Linked DNA regions of Cricetulus griseus. The protein of the gene in region 1 interacts with the protein of each later gene in a pairwise test. Links are inferred from orthologs where the notes say so. Each region holds a gene or a part of one and is shown in the gene's direction. Other genes may lie near its edges.

Region 1 (3,500 bases):
TTGAGAGTTTCTATTGCCAGAAATGAAATATGAGCTCTTAAGTGAAAGTTAGTGTTTTGTAGAACATGGCATCAATCCCCCATGAGCTTGGCTGATTCCCATATGTGAGTTTGGAATGAGGTGGATGGACACACTAAAGAATGTAATTCTTACACAGTGCAATAAAATACGTCAGTTTTTGAATTGCTGCTTGCTTCAGCAACCCAGTGTTTTTTGTATGACCTGTATGTGATTTTACAAAATTGTGTGTATCACCTTCACAGTGTAAGAAAAGCAGTTGAACTCTAATGTAACTGTGTGTTGATAATGTTAGAATTTGTGTAGTACTAAGAGATGTTGACAGTATTTTGAAAAGGACAATTAAAATACTTTCCCCAGCTACACGTCTGTGAAGCTACAAGTCTGTCTGCATGCATTTGCAATAAAGTAAACAAACACCTAGATGCAAACCTAGCTACCTTCTGGGAAGCTAGCAGCTACTGGGGCTGGACAGATGACCCAGAGGTTCAAAGCACTTGCCACTCTTGTGGAGGACTGGAGTTCAGTTCCCAGCTCACAACCTAATGTAACTTCAGTTCCAGGGAATCTGATGCCCTCTTCTGGCCTCAACAGGCATTTAGACATGTGTACATACATATACACATAAATAAAAATAAATATGTTAAAATGTTAAAATGTTAAAATTTCTAAAATGTTTTTAGAAATGAATAACAAGCAACACTTAGGAGGCTAAGACAGTTGAAACTGAGTTTGAGGCTAACTTGGTCTATAAATTAAGTTCCAGGATAGCCAGAGCAATACAGTGAGACTGTGCCTTAAGGGGGGTGGGGGTGGGGCACAGGACACATGGATGGACTGCTGTGGAGTTTTGTCAGAACCTTACACTGTTGAGCTGCTATCCATGGTTCCATTGTCTTTTTACTATCAGGAATGTTAAAAACACTTGTTCCAAGCTGAGCAGCAGTGGCACACACCTTTAATCCTAGCACTCTGAGTTCCACCAGCCCGAGCTACAGAGTGTGTTCCAGGACAGAAACAAATAAATAGAAAAGAAAGAAAGAAAACATGTTCCTTACTTTTGTTATATCTGATGTTAAGAAACTTGTTACCTATGTAAACTGTAAGCACTTAAAACATGAACTATGACTCAGCCAAAATGCATGCCATATGGTATCACTGAGCCAGATAATGAAAAGTATATCTTGGTTGGGTTTGAGGTCTTCCTATGACTCCTAGGCTGGCCAGGAACTCATTGTGTAGCGGAGGCTGTCCTTGACCATGGGATCTTCCTGCCTTAGCTTCCCAGGTACTACCTAGCTAAAATACATCTGTTGGTTATTGTTTAATACAGGTCTTTCTTAGCCTACTTAATAGGTGTTGTAGTCAACCATGTCTACTTACAACCCTGCTATTTGTTAGGTAAATTAACCAGAATCTGTTTTAATGACTTCAGTCATTATCTTGCCAATGGATTAAATGTCTAGCAGTCAATTAGCATGCAGCTTAGTGAACTGAAGTAGTGTGGAAGCAAAATATAAAAATTGAAACATTTGCATTCCAGTAGATGGTTGTGCAAGTAAAATTGGATTTTTTTATTTTAGTTTATCAACCCTAAGTTTTTTAGAAAACTAGATAGATATTTCACAACTTTCAGGTGGCTTCAATAGGTAATACTTTAAGATGCGTGTGGTGTTTGATGTTTGTTAAACACTATTAACTTGATCTAGGCAGTGTTAGTTTGCCTTATGTCACTCCTAATAATGTTAATGGTCATTTTTTTCTCAGTAAAATTATAAAACTTAAACATATTTCCTTCCAAAACTTCCTGGTTTTTCTTGTGTTCCTTTCTGTCAGGGTATAAGAAGACAGTGAGTGACACGCATGAGAATGGGGACATGGGGGCTTCAGGTGAAAGCCCCCTGGATGACAGCACAGCAAGAGCAGCCGATCTGCACAGCCTGCATCATAAAAAGGCTTACTAATCCATCCCCAGACGCTCGTCAGACTCTTGAATTGGGGGCACTAGGGAAGATGGTACCAAGATTGCACAAGATCAAGGGAGGCTGTGTGTTGCCTAAAGACAGGCGGGAACCTCAGGGCTTCGTGTGAACAATTCTAAGTGCAGAAACCCCTATTTTCTGTGGTAGACCTTAATTAGCTATTGCATGGAAGGCCATTTTGATTTTCCTGGACTCTAAGCACCAAAGCATGTGTTTCCCAAGGGGTATTACTAGGCTCTTCAGGGCCAAGTGGATGCTAGTTCATGACTCCTTTTCATATGTAACAGGACAATGCTAACTGGATTTTCTAAGTACCCTTTAAATAGAGCAGAATAGAGGAATCCACAACACATATTCCCTAAGGATAAACTAGAATTTCAGATGACAGAGCTCGACTCAGTGAATTGCAGACATTTTTGCTTAACTGAAAAAATTTCTTTCAGGTTTTTTAAAAAGGTGTGTTGTACATTCCGGGTATCTAAATTAATTCTTCATGATCATTTGTTATAACGAGTTTGCTTTCCAGTTTATTCAGCTGCAGTACAAAATAGTTTTCTTTAGGCAATCCTGTATCAATCAATCAATGCTGCACTAGAAATAGTTTCTGAGAAGTTACTGTGCATTTTACTTTGGGGTTTAAAGGAAACTCAGACGAGTGTGAAATACCTGTTGTCAATTATGTTGATCTGTGTGCATGGCACTGGAGCACTACACTGTTAGTGTTTACTCTCAAATGTTCATACATTTTGAGTTGTTCATAAGCTTTGGCTTGTGATAGTCAGGACACATTACTGTCATGAATTACATTGTGTTCAAACTGCAGTTTGCTTTAAGTACCTGACTTGCCAATCATTTAAAAAACCAGGAGCCAAGGTGGGCAAGACAAGGTAAAGACATTTTGGTACAGTGACCGTATTGGTTTTCATATCAGTATATGTTTGACTAAAGCAATACTAATATGTAAACTCTGTAATGTGTTAGTTCTCCTGTATCAGAACTAAGCACAGAGTGCCTACTCCCTCCTTCCTGACCCACAGACCATTGCACCTTGCTGGGCAAAGTCAAATACTGTCTTTAAAGAGGTGGTGAATTTTGCTATGTCACTGTCTTAAAGGATTTACACCTAAGGGAATAGTAAGCGGGAGAAGCCTCCATATAAGGCTTTCAGGATATTATCATTTAGGATAAACCTTTCTTGGGATGCTTGTTTTTCCCTAGATGCATTATATATTTGTTCAAAGTTAAATCTATAAAATGTATATACTTTATTTTGTGATTTTTTGCTATTTATAAATTTAGTTTGTAACTGTTACTCATTTATGGTCTGTGTGGGTGGTTTCATTCTTCAGAGTATCACCATGGTAACTGGTCACTAGAAGTGCACTTGGTCTGTATATTGTTACTAATGCTGAGCTACTTTGTAGTGTAACATTGCCTGTAAGCAAGGTTAGTATTTTAATTGTACAAATGAATAAAAAGTTACATATTATCAGTTGCTCC
Region 2 (3,500 bases), on another chromosome or scaffold:
ACTACAAGAGTGAGTCCTGCCCATGGCCATGCCCCACATTTGCCTGCAGAGCCTAAGCTGGTTATTATTGCTCAGTGCAGCCCAGCTGGGATGCTATCACTAGCCACAGCTTTCACTCCTCAACACCTTGGCTGTGTTTTACAAGGGTTGTTTGGTTCTGGGGAAGGATCGAGAGGCTGGTGTATGCTAGGCAAGTCCTGGATCACATCGGCTCCCATTGAGAAGGGCCTGTCTCTCAGAATCCCAGTCACATGGGATTTTGCGTGACAGCCAGCCTTCGGGAACTCAGAGGTCTTCCTGGCAGCATTTCTTCATGTTCTGCACTTGTACTGCCTGCTGACTGGAACTCTGTTTCAGAGGGGAAGGACGGGCTCTGCCAGAAGCTGTCAGTGCCATGTGTGTCTCCCAAACCCCAGAAGCCATGGGAGAAAGATGCCTGGGAGATTCCTCGAGAATCCCTCCAGATGGAGAAGAAACTTGGCGCTGGGCAGTTTGGAGAAGTGTGGATGGGTAAGGAGCTGGGGCCAGAGTCCACAGGGCCATGATGGGAGGGCCCTGCCAGTGCGGGGACATCACACAGCAGAGGGACATTTGAATAATAACCCCAGAGGGCCACTCCTCAGATAACAAACCAAATTGTCTACTGGGGAATCACTGTTTTGCCTTTGTGGCCAGACTTGAGGGTCAAAGAATTTCCCTCTAGGAGTCCCGAGTCCTGGATGGTGAAGGCCCTTTGTTGTGTGGAATTGACATCCCAGGGCCTCTTGGGATGGTGAAAATTCACAGTGGTGGAAAGAACTTGGGTTTTTAGGTGAGTCCAATGCTGGCAACTGAAGACTAAGCTGTTCAGATCATGAACCACGATGCCCAGTGACATTTCAGATGTGATGGGGTGCCAGCAGAAAGGTCTGGCACCCCTCTGTGGTCCTTGTCCCAGTACTTTAAGAACAGCAATTCCTGTTTCATGGGGAGGTAGGTGGTCACAGTGTCTGACCCACTGTGTTAACACTCCCCTGTGTGGCAGATGGGAGGGAGGCAACTCGTAGAGATGCAAACATTTGACCAGATAAAGTAAGTTGTTTGGTTGGTTGGTTGGTTTGGTTTTTCAAGACAGCGTTTCTTTGTGTAGTCTTGCCTGTCCTGGAACTAGTTATATATATCTGCCTGGCCCTGAACTCTCCTACCTTTGCCTCCCAAGTGCTGGGGTTAAAGGCATGGGCACCACTGTCTGACAATAAATTTACTGATAGTCTGCTATATCAGGTGCTGGATAATGTCAGGTGCTGAATTAAAGAAGGAACCATGAGGAAATGCAAGGAGGAGAGACAGATCTGAGCAGCAAAGTTGGGGCAAATTAAAGCAAACAAACAAACAAACAAAACTGTCCCCATGTCGTCACTACAGGAAGCCCACAGATCTGGATTTGAGCTTCCCAGCATCCAAAGCACACATGGAAAGAAAAGCAAATATAGAACAAGAGCCATAAAATGAAGCAGGGTGGGATGGACCAAGAGAACAGAGTGTGCCAAGTCCCCACAGCTGAGTGGTTGAGGGACACGTACATGCAGGGTGGTTAGTGTTTAAAAGCCAGAGAGAAGCCAGTGAGATGGTTCAGCAGGTAAAAAAGGCTTGCTGCAAAAGTCTGATGATCTGAATTCAGTCTCTGGAACCCACAGTGGAAGGAGGGGACTGGCTGGCAAAGACTGTCCTCTGACCTACACACACACACACACACACACACACACACACACACACACACACACACGTGCACACAAGACAGATACACACATGTACACACAGAGAGAGTAATTAATTTAATTTAATTGTTAAAAAGAAAGCGAGAATAAATTTAGTGACCCAGCTACTATATTGAGACAACTTAGTAAGACCCTTTTTCAAAATAAAAAGTGAAAGGGGGCTGGAGACATAACTCAGTGGTAGAGCACTTTCCTAGTATGAGGTCCTGGCTCAGTCACTAGTTGTGTGTATTGGGGGTGACCTTGGTGGATGACAAAGACAGAAAAGCAAGCATGGCCAGGCCAAGCAGAGTCTGTGGGGCATAGTGAATCTGGTATTTATTCCAAGGCAGTTAAACACTGTGTACAGGCTCATGCCACAATCTAATTAGTGGTTTAAGGGTTGCTACTGTTATTTTACAGCGCTGGGGATCAAATCCAGGGCTTTGCATGTGCCAGGCAAGTGCTGTACCACTGAGCTCCAGTCCCAGCCCTTGTTTTTTGAGACATGGGCTGGTCTGGAGCTGCCAGCCCTCCTACTTCATAAGCTTAGGAGTTCTAGGGTGACAGGTGTGTGCCCCGAGCTCAGATAGAAGGCTGTCTTTCACTCTTGCAAACAACCCTTCCTTCTGAGTGAGTACTTATTTTCATTTCCACGTCGCAGAAAAGGAAAACACAGCCGGGAGAACTGAGGTGCTTTGTTCATTTGCTCTCATCCAGGAAGCAGGGAGGGCAGCTGAGGTCAAAGTGGCACCCTCTCTCTGTCTTACAGGACTGGGTGGGCAGGGAGGGCTCCACAGGGCTGCTGGATCCTAACCCCCTTCCTTGCTCCATGCTTTCTTCAGCCACCTACAACAAGCACACCAAAGTGGCAGTGAAGACCATGAAGCCAGGGAGCATGTCTGTGGAAGCCTTCTTGGCGGAGGCCAACCTGATGAAGACGCTGCAGCACGATAAGCTGGTGAAGCTGCATGCCGTGGTCACTCAGGAGCCCATCTTTATTGTCACCGAGTTCATGGCCAAAGGTGCGTGGGCTAGGACGGACTGTGGTCCAGGCAGACTTCCAACAATTTCTCACAAAGCACCACAGTCAGTCCAGCCTCCTGGCTCACGGAGTGGAATCGAGTGAAGGGTGGCTTGTGGAGAGGGAGGGCGGGGGCTTCAGAGCAGGGAGCCGGCAGAGCCTCTGGGAAAACAGGAGAGGCATGTGGCTTTCTTGTGACTTGTACCTTGGAACCTTGGCGCTGGGCTGTAGCGAAGCCCTGCTTGGAGTCCTGAGGGACAAGAAGCCTCATGGGGACAGACACCATTGAATGAATGTTCTGCCTCTGTCACCTCACTTCACGCCGCAGCCCACCCAGCCTGCTATGTTCAACCCACAGAATCATGGGAAATGTTCATGTTGTCACTCCAGGCTCCTAAGCTTTGGGCTGCCCTACCTGTGATCATTCAGCATATCTAGGATTTCATTATGTAGCCCAGGCTAGCCTCAATCTCACGGCAGCCCTTTGCCTCAGCCTCACAAGCACGTATGTCTCCACACCTGGCTTCTCGGGGTTTCTTTTTTAAATTGTTGTTGGTTTTGTTTTTATTTATTTATTTTAAGATAGCTGTTCCACAGTCATTTTAAGCCCTTGCTCATTTTTTTGGATAAACATCTCACACAACATCATTCAATGTGATTTGAAATTTCAAAACCCTTTCCACTTTCCAAATTGACAATCAGCTGGCTTCCTAAAGCCAGGCCCAGGGGCACCCATTCTC
Region 3 (4,029 bases), on another chromosome or scaffold:
AGCACAGCAATTTCTACCACTGTGAATCCGTGAATGGAAGCGACTTCCCTGTCAGCAAGCTGGGGATGGCGTGTGGTGTAGGGTCAGCGCAGTCTGCGCCTTCGCTCCAGTGCCGTGAGTGTTAAGCAGCCGTGGGCCACAGAATGGTCCTGGCCAGACAAGTGTTTCCGGACTTGCCAGACAGAGGCGCAGGGTTGGCCCTGGATCCCTGGCCAAATCTCAGAGCATGAGGACACATCATCGTATCTCAAGGATCACAAACGAATACTTTTGGAGAGACCTTTGGGAAAGAAAGGAAGCCTCGGACAATGTCGCCTGCAGGGGGAGCACAAACAACATTTGCGGTCTCCTGACGAGGGCTCGCCTCTTTGTGGCTAGCTTGGGGGTGCAATATGCTGCATCTCTCTTAGTCACCGATTTCATAGAAAATGACTCAAGCTCGTGCTGAGAAAGAAAGGCGTGGGGCGGTGATGCTGAAGCAATGAGCCAGGAGACCTACCACCTTCCCAGCCTCCGCGCGGCTTTCTAATTATTGTTATTAATTATTTTTATAACCCTCTTGGCTGCTGTTCCTGATTTCTAGTTGCGTGGAGCACTTGCAGGCGGATAGGATAGGATGGCTCCTGCCTTCCAGACGGAATTTAAATAGATACATCTGTATCATTTTGCACAAATGCGTCACCGTTGAAGTCGTCGTGGTTCCCCGAAAGGCCTCCACGTCTCCTCCCGGCACCAGGGCCTGCAGACGCTTCCGGGCTCTGGCCGCACTTTCGCGAGGAGCCCTGAGCTCCTCCTGAGCCGCTGCCCGACAGCCCCTCCCCCAGCTCCCCTCCCGTCCTCCCGGCTCCCGGGCGCCTCCTCCACTGCCTCCGCGCCCGCCTTGCGGGGAGTCAGGCTAGGGTGAGCGGTAGGACCCCCCACGGCGGGCGCGGGTGCGAGCGCGGGGCACGGGGCGCGCGGCACTCGGGAGCAGCGGAGACCGCCCTCCTCCCGACCCAGGCAGGCGGGGGCCGGGGCGGTGCGGGGCGGGCAGAGCCGCCTGGCCCCCCCTCCCCTCCCCTCCGCCGCCCTCCCCAAAGTTGCCGACTCCCCCGGGGCCGGACAGTCTTATGATCCGGCGGATCCTCCTGGGGAGGCCGGGCCGGGGAGCGGGTTCGGGTGCCGAGCGGCCGGGCCAGCAGGCGGACGCGGCGAGCGGGGCCAGGGCGGGGAGCGGGGCAGCGATTGAAGCAGCGGCGGCTGCGGCGGCAGCGCCCCGGGCCCGCCGCACCTTCCCCTCCGGTGAGGGGAACCGCTGCATGGGGCCAGGGGGGCGCCCTGCTGCGCCGAGCGGCGGCGACGGCGGACCCCCCAGGCGGGCTGGGGCTGAGCCCGGGGCCGGGGCGGGGGCTCCGGGGAGACCATGCCCCGAGGCCGGCCGGCCGCAGTATGGCTCACGGGCCCGGCGCGCTGATGCTCAAGTGCGTGGTGGTCGGAGACGGGGCGGTGGGCAAGACGTGCCTGCTCATGAGCTATGCCAACGACGCCTTCCCCGAGGAGTACGTGCCCACTGTCTTCGACCACTACGCAGGTAAGCCTCTGTCCTGCTGACTGAGGGGCTGATCCCGGACCGGGAACTTTGGAGCAACTTTGGCTGAGCCCCCTGGCTGCCTCCTCTGAGCGTGCTCCCCTCCCCCGCCGTGCCCTCTGCCTGGCGGCCCCACCCCCGAGACGAGGCTGTGCCTCTAGTCACCCCTCAAATCAACTCCCACCCCTCCCTGTCTCCCCCCTCGCCCCTTCTCCCACACTTCTCAGTCCCCAGAGCGCCCTCCTTGACCTTCCCGCGGTTGCTTCCCTTACTGCCCCAAGCCCCTGTTGGGGAGACATCTGGGGATACTAGGGTAGACGTGGCTATGGGACTTGGGAGAAAAGGGGTGGATAGCAGGGGTGCACATTTCGCCTAGATCTCATGCCACTTTGGCAGCGAGCTGAACGTTAAAAAGGTGGTGTTCATTCCCAGGGATCACCCACACGCCTCCCCGTGTTTGGGGAAGGGGGGGTCCGTGGGTAACGAAATTGCTCGACCTCAGGTCATTGTGAGCTTCTCTCCCCACCCCCACTTCTGTCCTTGCAGTCAGCGTCACCGTCGGGGGCAAGCAGTACCTGCTGGGACTCTATGACACAGCTGGACAGGTAAGTGCCTTGGCCTCTGGCCGGTTCCTTTACCCCCACCTTTCGCCAATTATGTGTGACTTCGAAGGGCCTTCGGAAGCTGAGGTGTCTAGGTGGGAGGGTGTGTCTTCCAGGGGCTCCTTCGGGATCAGGTCTTTTCTTAAGTCAGCAAATTAAGGAAACAAACCAAAAAGAAAATGCAGACCAGTGCGAAGCCCCGGGATGTTAAAGTTTTTGACTGTATGGGTCGTTATGTGCGTTGCCTGGTGTGTGGGTCCCAACTCCTGTTGCAAAGTGGCGGCGGCCAATGGTGAAGCGCTCTTATTTTTAGTTGCTGGTGACCAGGTCTCCCCCCTCACAGCCTCTGTCTGGTCCCTCATTGGTGAGTGGTCTGCCTGCCCGAGGAGCCTGATTGGTGGGAAATGGCATCATCTAACATGATGGGAAGGCATTTGGTTCTCGTTATGTTTATTACAACATCATTGCACTCTGGGACTCCAGTCCCTGAAAACGTAATTTGTGGTGTTACCAGAGAACCACAGGGAAAAAGGAAAGAAACAACAACCCTCAGCCACTCCCTGGGGTGCAGAGTGGCTAGGGTTAAGAGTTCAGCATGAGTCTTTCTTCCCCCTGGAGGGCCAGGTGACTGTGTTTTCTCTGGAGAGATTATTGTGCAGAAAAGAAAGAAAGGCTTCTTCCTTCAGCCTCTGGCTAGTGTTTGCAAACCAGAAGGGCCGGGCTGTTCTCCTGAAGGATTAAGGCGTTTTTTTCTCTCTCCCTGACCCAGCACTACCGACTCGCCAGACCCACTTTCTTTCCTCTGGGGCTAAGGTGATGAAGTTTGCAGAATTCAGCTCTGCTATTTGGCCAGAAGTCTAGGGAAGAAGTTTCTGTGTTGTGCAGACTTAAGGACCCTGAGGAGATGTGAGCCACTGAAGGGCTGCGGTGGCTCTCGGGGAAGATCAGTCATTCAGTTTCTTCTTTATTTTCCAAGCGGGGTGGGGGTGGCTTAAGAAGAAAGAAAGAAAGAAAGAAAGAAAGAAAGAAAGAAAGAAAGAAAGAAAGAAAGAAAGAAGGAAGGAAGAAAGAAAGGAAAAGAAAAAGAAGAAAAAGAAGAGAAAGACCACTACAGATACTATATACCAAATATGTGTTGTTGGTTTAGATTTGCCTTTTGGAATTGTACCTCTTAGATTCTATATTGACGTCTAGAAATATCTTGTGGGTTGAGCGTTTTTTTGGGGGGTGGGGGGCTTGAAGTGGTCCTGATTTCTAAACTGTTATTGGAACATCTGAGAAGTACTGGCGATTCAAAGGGCCAGAGGACATTCCCTGTCATCAAAGGTGTTCAGGCCAGTGCAGCCAGGATTGATTCTCAGATTTGGGAATAGCCTAGTTTGGCTATTCTTTCATTGCCCTCACCCATCAATTACGGAAGGCAAGGAGTGGAACTCACTTAGATACCACCAACTTTTAAATTGTTCTGTTGATAGAGAAGATGTTAACAACAGTTGAAGATAGGGAGTTGGGGGGGTTCTAATTTTAACTTTTCATACTACCTCATTTCTTTGTTGCAGTGATGGAGTTTTAACCATGCACTTTTTTTTTTAACATGACATGTGAATGTCAGAAGTCTTTATGCAGAGACCCAGTTACAATTAACCATATGCCCATGTATGTACATACCAGGTCATGCAGCACACAAGAGTTTGCTGCTGAGATAAAGACCCTCGCATCACCCCAATTCGAGGTCCTGGGAAGTGCAGATATCCTCCCCTACATTGGCCAGATGTTAGTGTGCATAAAGTACCTGAAGTTTCCTAGTCATTCTCTTGGTGGTGGTAGACAGGGTGGGGGTGAGGAGGGTTCCGTGCCACC
Region 4 (4,167 bases), on another chromosome or scaffold:
AAGGTGAAGGGCTGGAAAGAGAGGTCCTCGATCCCCACTGCTCACCCTGTCCCGGGTGATGTGGAAGCAAACTGAAGGAATGGATCCACATCCCCTTCGGATGGTTAAAGAACCGCAGTGAGCTTCTTAAGGCCCTTTAATGCCTGCTTCCACTTAGGCTTCACATGTCTGTAGGGAGTAAGATTTAGTGCTTCATAGAGAAGAGACAGATTATAGAACAGAAAACTTAGGGGCTTCAGAAGCATACTGGTGCCTGAAACATGACACGAAACCTGGCATTCTGTGCCAGTGAGCATCTTCTTCATAGCGGGATCACACTTCATAATATAAGTCTAAAAATATGCCCAATGAGTTTATTCTTTTTAGAAGGGGTCACTGAAGGTGGATTCAGTGGATTAGTGGAGGCCTCAGCAGTGGGCTCTGGGAGTGGGGAGATGGCTTAGTTTTTAAGAACACTCTTTTTTGCAGAGGTCCGGGATTTGATTCCCAGCACTCATATGGCAGCTCACAACTGTTCAAACTCCAGTTCCAGGGTGTCCAAAGTCCTCTTGTGACCTCCACAGACACCAGGCATGCACATGGTGCATGGACACTCATATACACAAAATAAAATACATAAATCTAAAATTCAAGAAAGGAATGGACTGTGGGCCAAAGCGTTAGGAGCCACTGCTTCCTATGCTGTGGAGCCCAGCTTAGAGGGAACCATGCTTCCACAAGGAGAGGCTAGAAATGAAGCTTTATTCTTTTATGATAAGAAAAGAAACCTCCCCCAGAGTGCCTGGCAGCTCTCCCTTCACCCCTCCTTCCACTCCACTGCCCCAAATATCCAACTAGGAAGTGGGGGTAGGATGGGACAAACACCTAGTCGGGGATGGGCCTGATCAAACAACGAATCGATAACTGCTTATGGGAATGAGTTGGAAGCTACTTCAGGCACCAAGCATTTTGTCTGTTCTGGCTCATGTAATTTCTCAACACCTGATGAGGTCAGGCACCATGGTCCCATTTTATAAAAGGAAAGTCTCAGAGAGATTAACATAACTGGCTCACAGGGTGATAACACATGCTTTCTTTCTGCCTTCTCAACCCACCATGCTCTCCCAGCTGCCCATGACCCTTCTGACTCTGGACTTGGCAAGGTTTCTACTTCTCAGCTCTCCTAGGGCTGGAGTTCTGGGAATGTGACCCTTAGCTGCAGCTGTGTTTGGAGGAGGGCAATAGGGCTGGGCCAGAGGATGAGCAAATAGAGGCAGAAACCTAGTAAAATAGCAACTCTTCTTCAGTTTGATTCTTTTCCCAGGCTGGACGGTGAGACTCTGGAAGCTCCGAGCCCAGCTTGCCAGACCCTCAGCTAGAGGCCTGCCATGGCGCCTCTGAGGCCCTTTCTGATGCTAACCCTGCTGGCATGGGTTTCTCTGGCTGACCAAGGTGTGGGGGTGATTGGTGGAGATCTAGGGCGATGCAGGGTGGGCAGGTGGTCTGGCCTGGGCTGTAAAGACTAATATTCCCTCTCGTAGAGTCATGCAAGGGCCGCTGCAACCAGGGGTTTGTGGCCAACAAGAAGTGTCAGTGTGATGAGCTTTGCAGTTACTATCAGAGCTGCTGTGCTGACTATGTGGCACAGTGCAAGCCCCAAGGTTTGTTCAGAGCCCTGGTGGGTGGGCATGGGATCGCCTGTGTGACCGGAAACTCACTACTGCCCGCTCTGCCTGCAGTGACTCGGGGGGATGTGTTTACTATGCCAGAAGATGAGTATTGGTCCTATGACTACACGGAAGAGACCAAGAATGGCACCAGCACCCATGTACAACCGGAAAACACGTCTTTACACCCTGACTTACAGCCTCAAACCTCAGAGCCAACATCATTCCTAAAGCCTGAGGAACAGGCTCCTACACTGGAGGCAAGCACCTCAGGGCCTGAAGTGGGCTACCTGGAGGTGACTTCAAGGCCTGACACCACTGCTCAAGGGACCTCTGACTTCCCAGAGGAAGAGCTGTGTAGTGGGAAGCCCTTTGATGCCTTCACGGACCTCAAGAACGGTTCCCTCTTTGCCTTCCGAGGTGCCTCTATGGACAGGTCTGGTGTGGGGGGAGGAGAGTCTGCCCTGGCGCATCTGTTTCTCACACAGCTTCCCCTTCTCTAGGGCAGTACTGCTATGAGTTAGATGAAACAGCAGTGAGGCCTGGGTACCCCAAACTTATCCGAGATGTCTGGGGCATCGAAGGTCCCATTGATGCTGCCTTCACTCGAATCAACTGTCAGGGGAAGACCTACCTTTTCAAGGTACCAGACCCAAGTCCATGAGTCAAGGTAAAGGGTATCATGGAAGGTGCTGGGAGATGTGAGGAGGAGGTAGTAGGGGGTTCCAGAAGCTGCTGAGAGCCAGTTTAGGATGTAGGACTGCCTCTTTGCCCAGCAGTATGTCCTCACCCTTTTCATCTTCCCTGCCCCTCAGGGCAGTCTGTACTGGCGCTTTGAGGATGGCGTTTTGGACCCTGGTTATCCCCGAAACATCTCTGAAGGCTTCAGTGGCATACCAGACAATGTCGATGCTGCTTTAGCCCTTCCTGCTCACCGCTACAGTGGCCGGGAGAGAGTCTACTTCTTCAAGGGTACTCTGGGTGGGAGGTGAAGGGGCAGGTGGTGGAGGAGTCCCTGCTCTCTCCTTTGCTTCCCTGGGTGGGGACTTGGGGTATGCTACCACCCTGCCTCGGAGCACCCCAGCCTTAGTCAGATCTGCCCTTCTGATGCCAGCTATCCTGCTCCCCAGGGAAGCAGTACTGGGAGTATGAATTCCAGCAGCAGCCCAGCCAGGAGGACTGTGAAGGCAGCTCTCTGTCAGCGGTGTTTGAGCACTTTGCCTTGCTGCAGCGGGACAGCTGGGAGGACATCTTTGAACTCCTCTTCTGGGGCAGATCCACTGGTACAGAGGGAGTAGGACCAGACTGTGACAGTGGGGGCTTCAGGGGGAGGAGGGACTGGAATGGTGGCACTATCGATCAAGAGCTGTTTGCTCTGGCTAGACTTTGCTTCTGTTGACTTTTGGGGGTGAGGCTTGGCTCCACTTGGACCCCATACCTTGGACTTTGCCTGACACAGCACAAGGAGGGGCAGTGGATGAGGGATTTAGGAGGGGGCAGAGACACAAGGGATACAGTGGGTTGAGGACACAGGAAAAGGCACTGGACAGGGAGTCTGAGGCCTGGGTGCTGGGTACTGAGTTCTATCATGAAGCTTGTTGTGTGTCTTGGGCAAGATGAACTCTAAAGGCCTGCTGGGGCCAGCTGTGGTGGCACACACCTTTAATCCCAGCACTCTGAGGCAGATCTCTGTGAATTAAGAGGCCAACCTGGTCTTCATAGTGAGTTCCAGACCAGCCATGGGTACATAGAGAGACCTTGTTTAAAAAAAACATAAATAATAAATAAATGTCCTGCTGGAGAAATTAAAGCCTGGATCCTCAAAGTAATTAACCCCTTCCCTGCTACAGGCGGCGTCAGAGAACCCCAGTTCATCAGCCGGGACTGGCATGGTGTGCCAGGGAAAGTGGACGCTGCTATGGCTGGCCGCATCTACATCTCGGGCTCCACATCCCACTCTTTCCAGGCCAAAAAGCAGAAGTCTAGGCGACGCAGCCGAAAACGCTACCGCTCACGCCGTGGGCGTGGCCGCAGCCGCAGCCCCAGCAGCAGCCACAGCCTGAATTCTCGTCGCTCATCGCGTTCAGTCTGGTTCTCTTTGTTTTCTAGTGAGGAGAGAGGGCTAGGAGACTACAACTATGATTATGATATGAACTGGCTCGTACCTGCCACTTGCGAGCCCATTCAGAGCGTCTATTTCTTCTCTGGAGGTGGGAGCCCCTGCTATCCCTGAAGCTGGTTTTCCTTGGGTCTCTCCTGCAGTCTCTGGTCCCTGGGTGCTGAACACAGCCTGTAGATGGTGACCTTACCTGTATAGTGGATGTTCACTGTCACTTCTGAGAGAAATCCTTGTTTTCCTTCTTGGGACCAGCGACAGGACCAGGCAGGATCTTACACACCTTTCTGTTCTCTCTTTCAGACAAGTACTACCGAGTCAACCTTAAAACACGGCGAGTGGACTCTGTGAACCCTCCCTACCCACGCTCCATTGCTCAGTATTGGCTGGGCTGCCCAGCCCCTG
Region 5 (4,135 bases), about 170 Mb from region 1:
TGGCACAGCCATCAGTGAAACAATATAGCCATTACAAAAACAAGAACAGTAGGTATGGTGAGGACCAGTGAGTAAGGACATTTGCAGCAAGGGGTCAAGCAGCTTGGAGAATACACATGTGGAGAAAAGGATGAGAAGGAACAAAGAACCCAGTCATTTTGCTTGTGCACACACAAGACATCTTTGAAAAGAGACACAAAAAGCATATAGTGTAATACTTTAATTTTGGGTGCAACTAAATGGCTGGGAAAAGAGAGCTTTTGCTACAAAATCAAGCCTTTCATAAACACATGAATGACCCTGTTCAAAAATAATGTTAGCCGGGTGGTGTCAGTATGTGCCTTCAATTCCAGCACTGCAGAAGCAGACGAAGGAGGATTTCTGTGAGTTTGAGGACAGCGTGGTTTACAAAGTGAGTTCTAGGACAGCTCTGATTGTTACAGAGAAATGCTGTCTCAAACTGCCCCCCCCCCCGGCAAAAGGGAGCAAAAATGGGCCATATGGAATACATTTTGTAAGATGGTGAGGCCATAGGACAGATTACAGGGCCAGTCTTCCAGTCTCCATTTGAACTTCTGTGTGTGTGCTCCATTTGTATTTCATTATTTACTTGATCATGTTACAGTTTTTAATTGAAGCTTACTGTGTGCTTCTGTGTGCCATTTACCATATAGCAACATTTCTGTGTATTATCTCATTTAATCTGCAGGTAGGTAGGTGTGTATGTGTGTGTGTGTGTGTGTGTGTGTGTGTGTGTGTGTGTGTGTGTGTGTGTGTGTGTGTTGCATGTAGCCTTCAGGGGAGGATATCAGATGTTTCTGCTCTATTCTTTTGAGGCAGAGTCTTCCATCAACCTGGAAGCTTGCTGTTTGGGTAGGCTGGCCAGCTGGCTCCCAGGACCAGCCAGCCAATCTCCACCCTTCACCCTCTCCAATGCTAGGGTTATAGGCATGCCCAGATTTTTACTCAAGTGTTTGGGATTTGAATTCAGGTTCTTGTACTTGCATAGTAAGTACTCTTAGCCCCAGCCCCAGTAGGTGGATTTTTTTTTCCCCCTCCAATTTCAGGTGAAGAACCCAAGGGCAGGTGAGGTGAAGTCCTGTCCTCATGGCTAGTGTGTATGCAGAAGCCACTGGTTCTGGATTCCCAGTGGCTTGTTGAAGAATTCAGGTACTTCTGGCTTATGCTTACTGAACTGTCATTCATTTTTTGGTTTTGTTTTGTTTTCCTGCTGGGTTATCTTGTATTTTGCAAGAGCTCTTGGTGTGCCTTCATTGCAGGGCCTCAGAGAAGCCATGTATCTGGCTTTAGGGATCCCCTGGCTTCCCTGAAGTCAGGCTGAGGGCAAGTCCAGACAGGTCAGTCCAGAGCAAGAGGAAGGCTAGAGCCCCTCCCGTTCCAGAACAGAAGCTTGCAAGGATGAGTGGACTTCCTTCTACCCGCTCAGAGAAAGCAAGGGTGACTCACAGAAGCAAACGTCTAGGTCTCTTGTATGTGCAGAAGTCCAAAGTCACCCGAGGAGGAAACCAGCCAGAGAGTGCTCAAGAGCTGGGAAACCCATGCAAATGAGGCTGGCCCCCAGCAACTTGGAAGCCAGGACAGAAGCAAGAAACTGAAGCACCCGCCTGGATACTGTGCTGAGAGTGAAGAAGGCTTGCTGAAGCTGGTAAGGAGGTAAGGGTGGGAGAGGTTGGAGCAGATGACATTGCTTGGTATGAACTGAGACCCTGAAGGCAGAATCCTGGGTCAGTTTTCAAGCTCCGTCACCCTGGCTCTGAAGCCCTGGTCAAGTCACTTTACACCCCAAGCCCCAGTCTCGCCATCTATCAGATGGGCATTAACAAAATCATGCTAACTCCTGTACGGTCAGTACACCCACTGTGCCATGCTAAGGACAACTCCATCCTCCCAGCAGCCTGTAAGGAGGGCTCGTGAGTTTCTTCAACAGAGGGAAGTGGAGTTCAGAGAAATGAAGTCATCCATTCCGTTCAGCAAGAGTCTTGTTTCAAATCGTGAAGACTCTTTACTCCTCTGTCTATCTTGTTTGTAGGCAGGGTTTAGAGAATCAAATGGCCTCATAAAAATGGAAACAGTTGTAAAAGGCAATTGGGTTTTCTAGATGTGTTACCATATTCAGCTACTAGCAAGGACCAGCCCCCTTGGAAAGCCATCAAGTGCCATCAGAATGCCAGTTCTCTACGCCCGCTGGCAGGGTGTTGACAACATGGGGGTACAGGGGTGCTCCAGACAAGTTACTGCTAATAATAACTGCCATCTGGTGTTTAGAATTTACTGTTGCCGAGTTATCCAGGTAGGAAGCTGGGGTCCATAAGTCACTGAGTGTCTCCTAGAGACACTGAACTCTGTGCAGTGGGTGCCTAAGAGAAGCACCTCTGACAAGGACCCAGACAACATTCCAACATTCACATCTCTTTACGGACCATCCATTTATAGCTGTGGCCATTGCACTTCAGAGAATGTAGGTCTGGTCTAGGATGACGGGGTGGGGGTGTCTTCCGGGATTGGAAGACAAGCTTACCAGAACAAAGTTAACGTTTCCTTTCTTTATTTTTTAATGGTTTGTTTATTCTTATTTTATATGCATTGGTCTTTGCCTGCATGTACATCTATCTGTGTGAGGGTGTTGAATCCCCTGCAGATGGAGTTACAGACAGATGTGAGCTCCCATGTCAGTGCTGGGAACTGAACCTAGGTTTGGAAGAGTAGCCAGTGCTCTTAACTGCTGAGCCATCTCTCCAGCCCCAAAGCCAACATTTTTAAGTAATAGAATTAAGAACAAATGCTCTAGCAATAAACCAGATTGGTGGTTTTGCCCACACTGAAGGCCACTATTGACATTTAGTTGTTTCTGGGAGTGGTGGTGCATACCATTAAGCCTAGAACTTGGGAAGCAGAGGACATCAGATCAACGTGCGTTTGAGGCCAGCCTGGTCTATGTAGAGAGTTCCAGGCTAGCCAAGGGTATAAAATGAGACCCTGCCTCAAACAAACAAACAAACAAACAACAACAACAAAAACATTTGGTATGTCATCTTTTGGGAGAGATTTTTCTATGGTGCACATATTTTTCAAAGTAACCTCCAGTTCCCTCCACTTTGCTGCAAATAGTGTAATTTCATCCTTTATGACTGAATAAAACTCAATTGTGTTTATATAACACTTATTCTAAAAATCCACTAATCTGTTGATGGCCAACTAGGCTGGTTCCATGTCTTGGTGGTTGTTCATAGTGCAGCAATGAACAGATGTCTCTGTGGCATATATATCCATGCTGCTGATTTAGACTCCCCCGGGTGTACACACCGGGGGGATATGGCTGGGTCACAGAGTAGTTCCAGTTGTTCAAGGAGCCCCATACTAATTTTCATAGTGGCTTCCCCAGTTTGCACTCCCACTAGCAGTGTACAAAGATTCCTCCTTCTCCAAGTCCTTATCAACACTTATTTTCATTTTTATTTACTTTTTAAAATTCATTTGGAGGAGCGTGCACCATTGTGCTCACAGGGAGGTCAGAGGACAACTTATGGAAGCTGGTTCATTCCTTCTACTATGTGGGCCCAGGGCCTGGAACTCAGGTCATTGGGCTTGGTGGCAAGTTTCCTCACTGACAAACAAGATTGGCCACCACTTGTTCTTTGTTTTCTTGATAGCCATTCAGACTAGATGAGGTGCAATCTCAATACAGTATTGATTTACATTTTCCTGGTGGCTATAGATGCTAAACATTTTTCAAATATTTATTATGTGCTATATTCTTTCAGTTATACCCTCACCTCCCCTAAATCAGACATCACTGTCACACACTTGAACTAACTGCTGTAGCCATAACTGACCCTTTGATAGCTGACCTTTTGTTTCCAGTTTTGGCCTTTCTAGTCAATCCTCTGTATTATTGCTGGAAATAGGAGACCAGAGAGATGGCTCAGCAATTAGGAGCACTCCCAGAGCATCCAGATTCAATTCCTAGCACCTGCATGACAGCTCATAACTGTTTGTAACTCCAACCCCTGGACCTCCAACAGCCTCTGCTGGCCTCCACGAGCACCAGGCATTTGCTTGGTATACAGACATACATTCAATACTCCACATTTTTAAATTAAAATAAAATGGATTT
Region 6 (3,500 bases), on another chromosome or scaffold:
CAAGTCATGGTAATCTTTATCTACACAAGACACATGCCTATAAAATTAAGGTTCTGCTCAAATAACCTTTTCTTTGAGTGATGATTCACAAGAGAACAGAGTTCTACTTTTGAATTAAGTAGCCCTGTCCATTCAGTGACTACTTTGCCTGAGAATATTTATCCATTTTTGTATTTTTCAAGTATTTGTCTTTCATAGATAAACAGAAAGTGGGAGGAGGGGAGAGAGAGGGACAGGAGAGGGTGACAATGAGGAAGGGAAAGAGAGAATGCAGAGAGAGGGGAAGGAAAGAGGACAGAAGACATTCATCAAGCATTTTCTATCCTTTAGTGAGCCAGATGCCTAAATGTTTTTTTAAAACATATTAACATCTTGGTTATAGTGACCAATGAACAATGGCTCTGTGCATTTTGAAGTGTCACCTGGAGAGTTTAATGTAAACTGGTATCTGTTTCTAGTTATGTTTCTGAAAAGGCAAATTCCTTCAGTCCTCAAGTGTGTCATTTCTGTTGTAATTAGAAGTCTCCCTGTGGCCTATTTTCTACACTCCCCAATATCCCTCTGAGGTAGGAAATGAGACGGCCAAAGTCCCACTGCTGTGCTGAGAGTTATAGAGGAGAAGAGACAAGGCATGCTAAGGGACTGTCCTGAAACCACATCCAGAGCAGTGAGATTACTGGGAAATGAATTTAGACCTCCTCACTTGCAGTGTCCCATATCTCAGTGCTAAGACATTTTCATAAATGAAGTACAAAGAAGCTGGGTTAATGGAACCAGAAAGATAAATTGGAAAATGATCCCCTCTTGTGCTTGAATCGCAGTGTGTTTGAAATAGAGTTTTTGTTTGGTTGTTTGTTTAATTGATTTTCCTTCTGTTCACCACATCTATAGTGAACTTTTAATTTGGACAATGATAATTATGTATAATGTTGAGGCACTAAAATCTGACTTTGGGGCAGTTTTCTTCAGGAAATGGACCAATTGTTTCATTTGAGTACTGTGATGAAGAGATTTTGGGAATGATTCTATGGCAGTTCGGATATGATACAAGAGAAGTTATTGCTGACTTGTTTCTTGCAGGAACAATATGGAACCTTGGTATCTGCTCAGCCTGAACTGCCCCTATTTTATACTCCTGTAGACCTAGTGGACATCAGTGTGGAAATGGCTGGGTTGAGGTTTCCCAATCCCTTTGGCCTTGCCAGTGCCACACCAGCCACTAGCACACCAATGATTCGAAGGGCCTTTGAAGCTGGATGGGGTTTTGCTTTGACCAAAACTTTCTCTCTTGATAAGGTAAGATAATATGTTTGAAATTACGTGCAAATGTCTAGCATGCATTTTCATTAAAATGTAAATATAAGATGGAATGCTGTTTTAAATCTGAAACATGATAATTACAGAATAGTTGAAAACATTAAACATTATAGTTTAAATTTCTTTAATTCTGTCTATCCCACAGATAGAGGGGTGTGGAATATATTCTCATTTTGTATTGTCTAAGAAACATCACAATATATTTTGCTGGTGATGTAGCTCAGTTAGTAAAGGACTTGCCTGTCAAGCACAGCAATCTAAGTTCAGTCCCCATCACTACATGAAACAATATGGTGGTGCATGCCTATAATCCTAGCACTTAGGGAATGAAGGTAAAAAGATCAAACATATGAGGCTATCCTCAGCTACATTTGAAGGTCAGTCTGAGCTATGTGAGAGCTGTCTCAAAACCCTACACACAAATAAAAAACTAGTATAGTAGTGATTTAACAATCACTAATCCCTGTTTTAATTGAATCAAATTACTTTAATTGTTTATATTAGGAGGATGTCATTTGATGTTCTGCTATTTGTATGTATTGTGTAGTGTTTTAACCACATTAAACATTTGTGTCTTAAATATTTCATTTTTATGCAGAAAGCTTTCAAACTGCTTTTATCTACCTCTTTGCAATGCAGGGTATGTTCCTGATATTTACAGTCATGATTTTGTGGGGTACCACACCAGGGTTGTTTTCTAAGTAATTTTAACCCAACTGACACACCTTTCCCCAAGCCTCTCTCTTCCTGCTGCCTCAGCCTTTAGTAAATACCATTCGACTCCTAATTACCACTTATCTATCTGTTTTAAGATTCCATATATGAAAAATTGTGTGATACAAGTCTTCCTTGTCACTGGCTTATTTCAGTTACCATAATGATTTTGAGTTCCATCCACATTGCTGCCAGTTCAAGATTCCATTTTTATGCTGAAAAGTACCCCATTGTGTTTCTGTACTATACTTTCTTTATCCGTGCATCACTTGATGAACATTAAGGAAGTTTCAATGTTTGTGCTATTGTGAACAGTGCAGCAATTAACATGGGAATACATATTTTTGGCATACTGATTTTGTTTCATTTGGATATGTAACCCAATGTAAGGGGGCTGCCTGATAATATGAGAGTTTCTATTTTTAATTCTTTGTTTTGACATTATTATTTTGTGATTTTAGGATGTGTGTAAATGACAACATATGTTTCAATTCAAAGTTAGGGAAACAATGGATTTAGTTTGCATAAAATCCCGTTATTCACTACATGTCTTAGAGAGTTTCCCACTGTAATTTGTTGATTGTGGTATTAAGATTTCTCAAGAATTTCTTAATAAAAACACCCCAACCAGTTTAATTCCATGTGACACTATGGTTTTATGCTTTTACAAGGAGAGCTACATATTTAGCAAATAAATGATTTTGAGATAAAATCTTTAGTGCAAAAAGCAGAGCCAGTGGGATGTCTCAGCAGGTAAAGGACCTTGCAGTCAAGGCTGGTAACTTGGGTTTGATTACTAGAACTGAGATGATAAAAGGGGAAAGTGATTCTTGAAAGATTTCCTTGGTGGCCACATAAGCCCTATGTCAAGGGATGCGCTCTTTTAAACACACACACACACACACACACACACACACACACACACACACACACACACAAATAAGCAAATAAATAAATGTAAGATAACTTTAAGCATAAAAGCCATGTAAATGCACACTTCCAAGGTTGGGTGACTGATGGGATAGAAGACAGACAGCATCCTTAGATGGTGGTGAGTTTGAAGTCTAATTTATAGAATGAATAGGAACATCTCATGGGCCATTTATTGAAAAAGTTTTGGATGGCAAACCCCATTAATGTAGTTAGTACTATGTTGCAGTTAGTAATAATTAATGTGTAAGAATGGGTAGGTCTAGTCACTAAAGGGAGTATCATTATTTAAATCAGCCTTATCCTTGGGCAAAGAAAATAGCAGAGAACTAACATGTGTGATTAGAGCTCATTCTACCTGCTTTCTTCTTTTCCTGGGATCAATAGCTGACAGTATTATCATTAAAGTATTACAGCTTTCTTTGTCTGACAGTTGTAGGGGACAGTGTAAGCCGTCAGGGCGTGGTCAAGCACACCTATAGCCACCTTCTAACAGGTGTGTCTTACACTGTCCCCTACAGACAGTTTTATAAGAAGTT
Region 7 (3,500 bases), on another chromosome or scaffold:
AAGCAGGAATTAATATCCCACTTCAAAGAGAAAGCACAGAGGATCAAGAAGCTAGGAACAGGAAGGGCCTAGTTTTTATCGTCATGTGCTTTCTTCAATATGCAATTGCTATCCAGGCAGTCTGGAAAGTGAAAATAGACCCAACATATAGCTGGGCATGGTGAGGTATGTCTGTAATCCCAACACTGAGGAGATGGGGCCAGAAGATTAAGAGTCAGAGGCCAGCCAGACAAAATGAAGACAAAACACAAACTGAGGAGGTGGAGAGTAACAACTTGTCTACCTTGTGCAAGACCCTGGGTTCCATCTCTTGAACAAACATACATTTGTGTCTATGGATAGTCACATATACACATGCACAATCTACCCACTCCCTAACTCCCCCTCAATGATGTTCACATAAAGTCTTGTTCTAAAAGTCTGGTCCAAGACCAGAGGCATATATGTCCTCCTGGGATTGTTATACGTGGAAAATCCTGGTCCCCAGCCACGACCTATGATGTCTATCAAGCTCTGCAGTGAACTGGTACATGTTTAGATTTGAGAAAGTGCATATGGCAGAAGAATCCAGAATTGCTGACAATTGTCACGGCTTGCTGTTAGACTTGTGTCTAAGGCCAGGCAGACACCAGTTTTCCACAGAACTGACCCAGGCTGAGATGGGGTTGGAGAGCTGTGGGTTAGGTGATTTTACCATTGGATTAAGGGTAGATGTGGTCTTCACTACAGTGGTTTATCTTTTCATTACCATGGTGTAAAATGATATGCAATCTGTACACATCAAACTTGAACTGGTGTTTGACACTTGGGCTAGTCAGTCTTTTCTGTTGGGCATCAGGAGTGGCCTCTGGGCCCAGTCTTGTCGGTGGTCATGGGAATGGCTGATGCTACTTGCAGGCCTTGCCGCTCAGCTGGTTTGTTCCAGAAGCTAGGTGTATTCCTTGTGTTTTTGAATTAATGATGTTTTCACATTAGGATGGACTTATTAGGAAACAAAGTTTTAGGAAGATTTGTTAAAATCCCATAAAATCGGTTTAAATAGGAGGCAGGAGACATGTTACAAAGAAGCATTAAAAGAGACATGGGTAAATATTGTAAAGTTCCCAAGTGTGTGTCCCATATTCCAAAGCTCCCTAAATACAAACACAAATACAGTGTGAGCACACTTCACCCGACACTGTTCTAATGGGACCCTTGTTCCTTTAGGTGTCAGAATTAAGACAACAGCTTCGAATACGAGGCTTGCCAGTGTCGGGCACCAAGACAGCACTGGTGGACCGGCTTCGACCCTTCCAGGATTGTGCTGGCAACCCTGTGCCCAACTTCGGGGACATCACAACTGTCACCTTTCCTGTCACACCCAATACCTTGCCCAGTTACCAGTCCTCCCCATCAGGCTTCTACCACTTCGGCAGCACGAGCTCCAGCCCACCCATCTCTCCCGCTTCATCTGACCTGTCTGCTGCAGGGTCTCTGCCGGACACCTTCACCGATGCCTCACCTGGCTTCGGCCTGCATGCCTCCCCGGTGCCCGCTTGCACTGACGAGAGCCTGTTGAGCAGCCTGAATGGGGGCTCAGGTTCCTCGGAGCCGGATGGGCTGGACTCGGAGAAAGACAAGATGCTGGTGGAGAAGCAGAAGGTGATCAACCAGCTCACCTGGAAGCTGCGGCAGGAGCAGCGGCAGGTTGAAGAACTGAGGATGCAGCTGCAGAAGCAGAAGAGCAGCTGCAGCGACCAAAAGCCACTGCCCTTCTTGGCCACCACCATCAAGCAGGAAGATGTCTCTAGCTGTCCCTTTGCGGCCCAGCAAGTGTCTGGGAAGGGACAGGGTCACAGCTCCGACACCCCCCCTCCAGCCTGTGAGGCTGCTCAGCTGCTGCCCCACTGTGTGGAGTCCTCAGGTCAAGCCCATGTACTCTCATCCACGTTTCTCAGCCCCCAGTGCTCGCCTCAGCACTCACCCCTGGGGGCCCTGAAGAGCCCGCAGCACATCAGCCTGCCCCCATCGCCCAACAACCCTTACTTCCTGGCCTCCTCCTCCGGGGCGCAGAGAGAGAGCCATGGGGTCTCCTCACCTAGCAGCAGTCAAGGGTGCGCACAGGTAAGTACATATGACCTCGCCAAAGGGTGTCTCGGGAGGTGGGAGGTGGACTTCCACCATTAGAGAGTTGGGGAAGGTTTCCTAGAGGCTAAGCAGCGCCTCACTGACTCTAGGGTTCTTGCGCCTTCACAGCCAGTCTTTGCATCACCGCAGGCAAGCTTTCTCTGTAAAGACTTAGAAGGCAAATGTCTGGAAATCATAGTTCCTGCACCAAACTCCTAAGCTTTACCCTTGTAGCAAATACGCACCCACAGACAGCTTGTAATAATGCATAACTTTCCAATATAAAGTTATCTGCAAAATCAGATGCCAAGCAACATTAAGCTTGTGGGTTATTGTTTGCTGATTAATGTTCTCAAAACTGCTTTATATCAACCATTATCATTGCCCAAATCATTCTATCCAGAGATCCAAAAGGAAGTTGGGCATGATGGCACGGGTCTGGAATTCCAGCACTCTGGAAGCTGAGGCAGGGGATTGCTGTGAGTTTGCAGTCAGCTTAGGTTACATCCCAAGACCACATTTTGGGGCATGGGGTGGGGTGGGAGTGACAGTGAGAGCCTGTGTGTGAGAAAACATTTCTCCTTCTCCTACATCCTTATCAAATGTTTATTGGGACCTACTATGTGTCACACTCTAGTGGGGGCGGGTGAGGGGGGAACTCAACTCCTGTGGGAAGACAGGTGATGGGTGTTGAGGAAATAGAGGATCTGTCTTGTGGAGAGAGTAGAGAAGGGCTGGGTGTGTGAGAAGCCTGGAAGTTTGCAATCTCCACTAGAGGGGTCAGGAATGTTGAAGAGGAACCTTGGAAGAGGCCAAGAGGAAACATTGTGAATATCTTGGATGAAGGCATAGGAGAAGCAGCAGGTGAAAGGTCCCTGGGGTTAAAACCTAAGTAGAAAGCTGAAGGATCAGAAAGAAGGCCAGCCTGTGTCTGGGACAGAATAAGCAAAGAGCTGTAGGAGAATGAGAATAACATGTCTATACCCAACATGATCAGCAAAGACTTTCCTTTTGTTCATGGAACTAATGGATTATTAGAAAGTATATAGGAGACTATATGAAGAAGAAAGCTGCAGTGTCAAAAGATTATAAAATCTAAGAAGATGACTCACATTGGGTACCTGCCAAGGCAAGTATTAAGAGGAATGAATAGAAGCCATCTTGTCTACCATCACAGCAGCCCTGTAGCTCCAGTTTAGTGTTTTTCTTTACCATCAAGAAAAAATGAGATCCAGGAAAACTGAACTCACTGCCTAGAATGCCAGGAGTTGTTGATTTTAAACTCCATAATGAAATATCTCTACCCTGGGGGTGTGAAGCATGACTAGAGGTAACAAGTGCACTTACCTAACAACACTTCAAATCAATGATACCCACTCCTGAAAGAACATACT

Evidence for each region.
Region 2: the proteins of Gopc (region 1) and Hck interact in binary tests that used the Homo sapiens proteins (3 or more experiments, as listed by UniProt). The two-hybrid records come from large-scale screens. The link is inferred for Cricetulus griseus from reciprocal best matches to the Homo sapiens genes GOPC and HCK.
Region 3: the proteins of Gopc (region 1) and Rhoq interact in a two-hybrid assay, tested with the Homo sapiens proteins (2 studies listed by BioGRID). The link is inferred for Cricetulus griseus from reciprocal best matches to the Homo sapiens genes GOPC and RHOQ.
Region 4: the proteins of Gopc (region 1) and Vtn interact in binary tests that used the Homo sapiens proteins (3 or more experiments, as listed by UniProt). The two-hybrid records come from large-scale screens. The link is inferred for Cricetulus griseus from reciprocal best matches to the Homo sapiens genes GOPC and VTN.
Region 5: the proteins of Gopc (region 1) and Rnf183 interact in binary tests that used the Homo sapiens proteins (3 or more experiments, as listed by UniProt). The two-hybrid records come from large-scale screens. The link is inferred for Cricetulus griseus from reciprocal best matches to the Homo sapiens genes GOPC and RNF183.
Region 6: the proteins of Gopc (region 1) and Dpyd interact in a two-hybrid assay, tested with the Homo sapiens proteins (2 studies listed by BioGRID and IntAct). The link is inferred for Cricetulus griseus from reciprocal best matches to the Homo sapiens genes GOPC and DPYD.
Region 7: the proteins of Gopc (region 1) and Myocd interact in binary tests that used the Homo sapiens proteins (3 or more experiments, as listed by UniProt). The two-hybrid records come from large-scale screens. The link is inferred for Cricetulus griseus from reciprocal best matches to the Homo sapiens genes GOPC and MYOCD.

Annotation. Positions count from the first base shown.
Region 1 is NC_048595.1:256,537,883-256,541,382, forward strand, and holds part of Gopc (Golgi-associated PDZ and coiled-coil motif-containing protein), read left to right. Parts: intron 1-1,854; coding exon 1,855-1,982; 3' UTR 1,983-3,500.
Region 2 is NC_048599.1:26,878,472-26,881,971, reverse strand, and holds part of Hck (tyrosine-protein kinase HCK), read left to right. Parts: coding exon 1-9; intron 10-357; coding exon 358-510; intron 511-2,581; coding exon 2,582-2,761; intron 2,762-3,500. UniProt on the Homo sapiens protein: Non-receptor tyrosine-protein kinase found in hematopoietic cells that transmits signals from cell surface receptors and plays an important role in the regulation of innate immune responses, including neutrophil, monocyte, macrophage and mast cell functions, phagocytosis, cell survival and proliferation, cell adhesion and migration.
Region 3 is NC_048598.1:88,602,082-88,606,110, forward strand, and holds the start of Rhoq (rho-related GTP-binding protein RhoQ), read left to right. Parts: upstream 1-1,229; 5' UTR 1,230-1,428; coding exon 1,429-1,570; intron 1,571-1,787; exon of another isoform or gene 1,788-2,113; coding exon 2,114-2,172; exon of another isoform or gene 2,173-4,029. UniProt on the Homo sapiens protein: Plasma membrane-associated small GTPase which cycles between an active GTP-bound and an inactive GDP-bound state. In active state binds to a variety of effector proteins to regulate cellular responses. Involved in epithelial cell polarization processes.
Region 4 is NC_048600.1:91,887,869-91,892,035, forward strand, and holds the start of Vtn (vitronectin), read left to right. Parts: upstream 1-1,367; coding exon 1,368-1,431; intron 1,432-1,520; coding exon 1,521-1,640; intron 1,641-1,718; coding exon 1,719-2,066; intron 2,067-2,149; coding exon 2,150-2,289; intron 2,290-2,461; coding exon 2,462-2,618; intron 2,619-2,776; coding exon 2,777-2,929; intron 2,930-3,496; coding exon 3,497-3,856; intron 3,857-4,065; coding exon 4,066-4,167. UniProt on the Homo sapiens protein: Vitronectin is a cell adhesion and spreading factor found in serum and tissues. Vitronectin interact with glycosaminoglycans and proteoglycans. Is recognized by certain members of the integrin family and serves as a cell-to-substrate adhesion molecule.
Region 5 is NC_048595.1:83,435,990-83,440,124, forward strand, and holds the start of Rnf183 (E3 ubiquitin-protein ligase RNF183), read left to right. Parts: upstream 1-1,335; 5' UTR 1,336-1,492; coding exon 1,493-1,666; intron 1,667-4,135. UniProt on the Homo sapiens protein: Acts as an E3 ubiquitin ligase catalyzing the covalent attachment of ubiquitin moieties onto substrate proteins. Triggers apoptosis in response to prolonged ER stress by mediating the polyubiquitination and subsequent proteasomal degradation of BCL2L1.
Region 6 is NW_023276806.1:39,350,756-39,354,255, reverse strand, and holds part of Dpyd (dihydropyrimidine dehydrogenase [NADP(+)]), read left to right. Parts: intron 1-1,080; coding exon 1,081-1,296; intron 1,297-3,500.
Region 7 is NC_048600.1:79,089,679-79,093,178, reverse strand, and holds part of Myocd (myocardin), read left to right. Parts: intron 1-1,206; coding exon 1,207-2,103; intron 2,104-3,500. UniProt on the Homo sapiens protein: Smooth muscle cells (SM) and cardiac muscle cells-specific transcriptional factor which uses the canonical single or multiple CArG boxes DNA sequence. Acts as a cofactor of serum response factor (SRF) with the potential to modulate SRF-target genes.